2 linked regions of the Drosophila melanogaster genome follow. The protein of the gene in region 2 binds, or shares a complex with, the protein of the main gene of each other region. Each region holds a gene or a part of one and is shown on either strand. Other genes may lie near its edges.

The links. Proteins that work in one complex are often made in the same cells at the same time.
Region 1: Cpsf160 (region 2) and Cpsf73 share a complex: the UniProt entries of both Drosophila melanogaster proteins name them as parts of the cleavage and polyadenylation specificity factor (CPSF) complex.

The regions. Positions count from the first base shown.
Region 1 is NT_033777.3:18,661,673-18,665,430, forward strand, and holds the start of Cpsf73 (cleavage and polyadenylation specificity factor 73), read right to left. Parts: upstream 1,881-3,758; 5' UTR 1,784-1,880; coding exon 1,716-1,783; intron 1,660-1,715; coding exon 1,498-1,659; intron 1,436-1,497; coding exon 144-1,435; intron 83-143; coding exon 1-82. Other genes in the region: Gos28 (golgi SNARE, 28 kDa), read left to right, coding at 2,124-2,145, 2,211-2,395, 2,937-3,325, 3,396-3,498. UniProt on the Drosophila melanogaster protein: Component of the cleavage and polyadenylation specificity factor (CPSF) complex that plays a key role in pre-mRNA 3'-end formation, recognizing the AAUAAA signal sequence and interacting with poly(A) polymerase and other factors to bring about cleavage and poly(A) addition.
Region 2 is NT_033778.4:14,501,402-14,505,159, forward strand, and holds the start of Cpsf160 (cleavage and polyadenylation specificity factor 160), read right to left. Parts: upstream 2,088-3,758; 5' UTR 1,964-2,087; coding exon 1,130-1,963; intron 1,061-1,129; coding exon 497-1,060; intron 439-496; coding exon 1-438. UniProt on the Drosophila melanogaster protein: Component of the cleavage and polyadenylation specificity factor (CPSF) complex that plays a key role in pre-mRNA 3'-end formation, recognizing the AAUAAA signal sequence and interacting with poly(A) polymerase and other factors to bring about cleavage and poly(A) addition.

The sequences.
Region 1 (3,758 bases), on a different chromosome or scaffold from region 2:
AGTAGCTCTAGAGTGCTCAGCGAGCTGCCCCAGGGAATCGACTGGCGTTGGGTTACAACAGACATGCTCATATCCGTGTATTCTGTGGGAATTATTTAAATGAATCGACATTTTTACAAAGAAACTAACTAACTATTACTTACTGCCCAGATCAGAAGGAGCCAAGAGGTGGTACTTAAAGTCGCGCTTAACCAGAACACCTGAGAGTTTGCTTCCCACCTCCGAGTTCTTGGCTGCGAGGCTTCCCATCACCTTGGCGGTTTTCTCGCCACGGAAATAAAGATCCACGGCATGTGTGTTTCGCGGGTTGTAGAATTTTATATCCGTGCTTGCATCTGCTTCGTATTCCCGCTGCAGGGCCAACTTCAGACGCGACATCTCGTTCTGCTCGCCGTGGACGAGCACGACATGCGTTGGCTTTAGTAGGCGGATGAATTCACTGGTCTGCTGGTAGTCCGTGTGAGCCGAAAACGATATGTAGTCGACGGACATGTTGAGCGGCAGCTTCTGGCCCGACAGTGTGGTGATCTCCTCCGGCTCGGAGAGAACGGCTTTGGCCAAAGTGCCCTCCACGCAGTAACCGGCTATAATCACTCCGTTCTTGGGATCTGTGCACCAGCTCTCGAAGAGCTCTCGCGACAATCCCGACTGCATCATACCCGGCGACGCCATGATTACGCAGGGTCCGATATCCTCGAAGTGATCGATACCCTTCAGGTTGGAAATGTGGCGGAAAACGAAGGGATTGTTCACAGCTATCTGTCGTCGAATTCGATCGTTCATAGCATTGATGTACGTCTGGTAGACAGCCATGCACTTCTTGGCCAAAGAGGAGGCATAGTAGATGGGAATCTCGTGCAGATCCGGGTTCTGCGACCAGAATTCATCCAGAATAAGTAGCAGTTCTTGGGCACGGCCCAAAGCAAATACTGGAATTAAGCATCTCCCGCCTTGCTGAACAATTTTCTGCACCAGCGAGGTAAATCGATTCTCTCGATCCTCTCTTTTCTCGTGAATGTGAGTGCCGTAGGTGGACTCTGTGATAAGAACATCCGGCTTCATCGGTGGCACTTCGGCAGCCATCAAATGTCGATCCTCCTGGCGCGAAAAGTCACCAGTATACAAGATCTTGATGCCAGCAATCTCGATCATGAACATGGCGGCACCCAAAACATGACCAGCAATATAGGCACAAAAGCGTACGCCCATCACATCGCGCTCCTCGTGGAAATTGATCGTCTCGATCTTCTCCATGGAGGCCTCCAGATCGGCTTCCGTGTATAGCATCTGTTCGGTGGATATGTTACTGATCTTGATGTAATCGGACAGCATCCATCGGTAAATGGCTTTCGTGGCATGGGTCATAAAGCAGCGGCCTTTAAAGCTGGTCTTCATGAGAAACCAAGGCAAGGCACCGCAGTGATCCAAGTGGAAACTGATAAATATAAGCATTCACCATTAAAAGTTCAATGCCCATTTAATCGCCGCAGTACTTACTGTGATATAAACAGCAGATCAATCTCATCCGCCTCTATTAGATCTACGTAGGGCAGGGCATCCATGCCGGACAATCCCGGATGGATTCCGCAGTCCAGCATTATCTTCTTGCCCTTAAATTCCAACATGATGCAGGAGCGTCCCACTTCCTGGCCAGCACCACTGAAATATAAGCGTTACCCTTGAGCTTCTATCTGGTTTAAATCAAGATTCCTTACAGTGGCTTGATCTGCAGCAGGTCGCTTTCCTCGTCTGGCATGCGTGCATCACCTGTTGCCTGCGTCATGATGTCTAAAATAATGTAATCAATAACAAACTTTTTTACAAATCGCCGGCAACAAAACGCTGTGCACGGCAGTGTGACCAAAGTTTGATGACTGCCGGTATGGACCTGTTCACACAAGGGCTGGAAAAGAACATTGTACTTTTTCCTTTTACATTAACATTAAGTTATTAGGACAATTTAATTTTCTCGTAAACATTTGTTCATTAAGTAGGGCCTAGATTAAATCTGGCTATTAATCTTTCCCGATACTCTCAACTCATTCCACTTGGGCCCCGCCTGACCTGGTCACACCGATTGCCACACGAAAGTCGAACAAATAAAGGAAAACTATTTTTGACAAATGGGAGGATCCAGCTACGATGGTGAGCAGTGGGACTTAATGGTTACCTTCCATATAAGCTATCTCTCCTCTCGACCTCCCGCACAGTGCTCAGGAAGCAGGCGCGGAGCCTGGAAAACGAGATCGACCTGAAGCTGGTGGCATTCAGCAAAATCGGAGCTGGCAGTGGAGGAGGTGGAAGTGGAGGACTAGGAGGCGTTGACACATCGCCGCTCCTGGGCGAGCACGTCTTCGATTCGCTGTCGGAGGAGATCGAGCAAATGCTGGAGAAGGTGCGATATGTGACCCAATGCCATGCGATGGTGCAGGGATTAAACCCGAAACAATGTAGTGCGGATTCCTTATTTATTTATTAAGCAAATTTCTGTGCCACCGGCTTTGTGCTACTATGAATTACTAATTTCCCACTAAGCCTTCCCAAAAATCATAATTTAATTGGCAGAATTGAGCACACAATTGAAAAACTGCCACGATTAACTTATATATATTGAAAACATTCCATCACTTTCCAATTTTTTATGAATCTGTATATATATTATACTTTATTATTCGAGTTTTTTTTATGCTCTGATCTTTGCTAAATTCTTTAAAAGAAAATGTTTAAGAATTCCTCTTTGAATTCGCTAAATGAATTCCATTTGATAAATACTTTAATAGATAATTCCAAGTAATGAATGAGTCACCGACTGAAGCACAAAATGTTCAAATTGTTTTGCTTGTTAAGTTATCTACGTTTTTTAGGCAATTCCCATATCTATAGAATTTCTATAGAATAGAAGGATTTCATTTCTATTTCATCCTTCTTAATTGCAGCTATCCTCGCTAAATGAGTCCATGTCCGATTTGCCCGCCTCTGGAGCAGCCGCCATGCACACACTGCAGAGGCATCGAGAGATCCTGCAGGGGTATCGCCAGGAGTTCAATAAGATCTGCGCCAATCACACAATGCGAATCGAGCGAGAGGAGCTGCTTCGTGGCTCAGGGTTGGCCACCAGCTCCGGCAGTCCATCCATCTCGGGCCTAAACCGGCGAGAAATGTACCTGAAGGAGAGCGGGCACCTCAACAGCGCCAGTCACTTGGTCAACGATCAGATAAATATCGCGATTGAGACGCGTGACCATCTTCACGCCCAGCGACAAGCATTCAAGCGGCTGCAGACCCGCTTTAACGATATCTCCAATCGATTCCCACTGATTTCCAGGTGAGACAGACGAGTTCTCAATTCAATTTATGCATATTTACTTATCCAATTATTTGTTGTATATGCACAGTCTCATTCAGCGCATCAACATTAAAAAGCGACGCGATTCGCTGATCCTGGGAGCAGTTATTGGCTTCTGTGTGATCTTGCTGCTGCTCTACGCCTTCAACTAGTGACCCGCCACCGCGATTTGGCCAAAGATAGAGCTTGCATTAAACTCCATTACAGACAATTGAATTTTAGTTTGTTTTTTCCGACGGTATATGTGTATGATTAACTTGTGATAGCAATAAAATGTACTATATAAGACAAAACCCAACAGCCATTGATTCTAATCTCAAGCAGCAGTTAATAATTTTAGGCAAACAGCAAACATAACAACTTATGTATATACCAAAAAGAAACCCAAAACATTTAAAACATTTACGTTATT
Region 2 (3,758 bases):
CTGGTTAACCGTAAAGCCCGTATTCTCGATTTCATTAATTTCCTGTCCTGTTTGTAAAACCAATGTAGAATTCCTTTGTGAAAGCAACATGAAATCATGCTGATCATTTCGCGAAGACTTCTTAGTGGCATCATCAAACACAGTCCACACATCGAGGCACCCATCTAACTCAAAGCTTGTTATGATTTGAGGATTAATGCAGTTTACAAATACGGACAGAGCTCCGTTTTTGCTGTGACCCGTGGCAGCGACTAGTTCTATCTTTAGATCTTGCAGAGATTCCGCATGTGGTCGCAACGTAACGCCATCCTCTTCGAATTCCACTCTTTCTCCGGCGCACATGTAGTTGATTGGTGCTACATTCATTAGACTGTCGCACACCTCAAATATGAATTTTCGCAGCTGAAGAACCGATGCCTTAGCTCCAGAACCATACACCTGTAAAAACGATCAAATTTAAAAACAATTCAAAACTTTAAGTATATTGTTTACAAACCTCTAGTTCCTCATCCTCAATACGACGCGATTTTGCTTGGGTCGGTGCCATTTCCAATTGATCTACATCAAAAATTTCCTCCAAATTCTGATCCTCGTCCTGCAGATTCCTTTGCTGCTGCTCCGATTGCTGTTCCACCTCATCTAACGTAATGACCGTGCTCTGGTCCTCCTCTGTAAAGTGCAGCAATAAGGAATTTCCGAGACGTGATCCCAAAAATATGTATTCGGAGTGCAGAACGCAGATACAACTAGTTAGCACACTGGCGGCTGCTTTGTGGAAATGGAAGTTCCTAACCGTTCTCATTGAGTCAACGCAAAGCGTAAGCACGTATAGATCTCCAGTGCGAAGCGAGATTACCAGCTTGTCGACATCAATAAATGCAAAGTTAGCACAATCCAAACTAATACGAACGCCATCCTGTGGCTTCAGTGGAAATGCGGTGCTGTTATCCGCTGAACTGTTTAAACTGACGCCATATGGAGGGACACTCTGATTGAGATAGATTACAGCATTGACTGTCATTACCAGACAACCCCCAATTGGCTTCTGAATCGGGTAAACCTGCAAGGGAAAAATGACACATTAAACGTTGTGACTCCTAAAAGGTAAGTGGCATTTTCAAACACCCACTTGTAGGCAGTCAAAAGGTAGACTGTTCACGGTCCAAATAATCGGATGCACTCGCTGTTGAATGTTCAACGAAATGGCCACCAAAACGCAAGTATCGGAGCGCACCTTTATTCTTCCCGGACAGGTTCGCACCGGTTCGTAGAGTATAAGCAGCGTTGGTTCGTAGTAGCCGTGCAGGAATTGTATGTCCAGAACATTGTCGATCTTCTCATCAAGATCTCGCAGTGCTATCAGGTACGATGCCATAATAGGCGTCCTGCTGACCATTGCCGTCGGAGCCTTTTTAATTGGCTTCACATCCGCTAGCTCGATCTCGTCCAGGCTGTTGTCCTTGCGAAAGGGCAGTACCACCAGCCGTTTGCCGTAGACCAACATGACGGCACACCTGGAATCGGGATCTACGCGAACTGTGGGCACAAAATAGCGACCCGTCCAACCACCACGTATGTCATCTTCCTCGAAATAGTGAAGTGAGAGAGTTTTCAGCGCAAACGTATCGGGATCGTGCTGCAGTACGGACAATTTCGCGTCCTTGAAACTAATCAACAGCGCATCCCGCATGGCACCCGCCAATGAGACGCACTGCAGCGACATCACATTGCCGTAGAGCGTATATGTGGCTAGGCATTCCAGTCGCATTTTGGGCGCCAGACGCATCTCGCTGGGATTCAGCTTTTGACGCTGGCTCGCCTCCACGTTGGGCGCTATCCGGTACACCTTTAGTACATTGGCGCCCGCCACCACCAGGTTCTCATCCAGATTGTTAAAGAAGCGGCATGCTATCGAAAACTCCACCGCCGTGGCGGAGTGCGTCTGCTTGCACATCGAAAACATTGCGGTGGTTTAATTGGTGTCGCAATTTCTTAAAACATTATTAACAATTTCAGCCAGTTTAACAATTTGCCGGCCCAACACACACAGCAGCTGCGGAACTATCGATTGTGGGTGCAAAGTTATCGCTCATTGGATGTGAAAACTTGTTCGCCGTTTTAGTGGGTGGAATACCATATTGGCTTGATTTTTGTCTTGCTTTTTGTTTTAGCGGTTTTTAAGTATTTCGTTAGTTAATATCTTGCAAAATGTATTTGACCAAATAAAAGCTATATTTTTTTATCTGAACATGTAAAATGATACGTATGTTACGTATTTGCATAAGTTACGAGTCTAAACATTTAGAAATTATTTATAGTGCATTTTGGTCTTAGAGCTTGTATATTTTTATAACAATTATTTTGTATGCACACGTTATACAATTATATTATATATGTACGTAAATGTAACATAACTTAAAATCAAATAACCGCTACGTACGTAACGCTTCATATTTGCCAGCTTATTTCTAGCTACTTCTTGACCTGATCGTTCAATCGATAGTTGGCAGCCCTGGTGCGGGAGCAGTGACTGCGCAAATACATCCGCTCCTATCCGATGTATCGGATGCGACATCAACAACCCCATCGGACTTGGCAGGGCAGCCAGAAATTCGAGCGTTTTGCGTTTAAAACTGGCCACGAAAAAACATTAACTAGTTGGTGTGATTAGTGACTAGTGTTTGCGTTGTAGTAACTTAAACAATTTCATTCAATTAAACGCAGCTTTTCTGCATAGTGAGTGTGAGAGAGAAACGGGCGCTGCGCCCGATACGGGAAAACGCGTGCGCCAGAAAGGGACCGGCATAGTTGGCTAGAAAAGAATCATTTTGTAGCTGCTTTGTTTGTGTGTTTGGCATTCACATTTCCCCCATTCAATATTTAATTTAGTGAGCCATTAACGAGGCGGAAATCGGCATTATGCAAAAGATAGTGCTCTAGTACAGATCTAAATCCGTACCATAAATAGGTAAAATACCCGCAATTAGTTACTTAAATAGGAACAAAAGTCATTTTTCTACTTCTCCGATGTGCTAGTGTGCATTTGTGTGTGTTTGTGTGTATGTGTATGCGTGCGTGAGAAAAAAATATAACCAACTTTGCAGGTCGTTCGTATTTGTTGTTGTTACTGCTGTTACATTGTTGATTTGTTTAAAATTACTGCTGGCAAGTGAGAAAAGTCGTGAGGAAAACAAAAACAATAATTAAAACTAAGGCATAACAAACGGAAAAATCTCCGTATAGCCGCAATTTCATTACATATAAAAAAATAAAACACACGCACACACTTCTAACGAAATATATGCGCACATACATGCACACAGATGACGTACATACATATACAAAGGGCGCAACGTTAAAATTATACAGACACTTTTTGCCTTAAAATGGACAATTCGTTAGTGCAGCCGATCAGGATTAATTTCGTGCACTATAGTATTAACCAAAAACTAGTTTTGCCATCTAATATGGCATCTAAAATCGACTGGGAAGCTTGAAAATGTTAAAAACAAGCAATATTGGCTGAACCCCAACACGGATAAATCAAATAAACAAATTTAAATTTGAAAACTATAAGAAGTTACATTCATTTTTGTTACACATCATTTTGCATTTGTATATGATCATTGTCAAGTTGCCAAGCAATTTAAAGTAAAGAATTAATGCTCTGTTTTTAATTTATATCCAAATAAACCATCACATAACAAAACTATTTCATTGTTAACAAAAAAATAATATTAAATTATCTATTTCTCAAC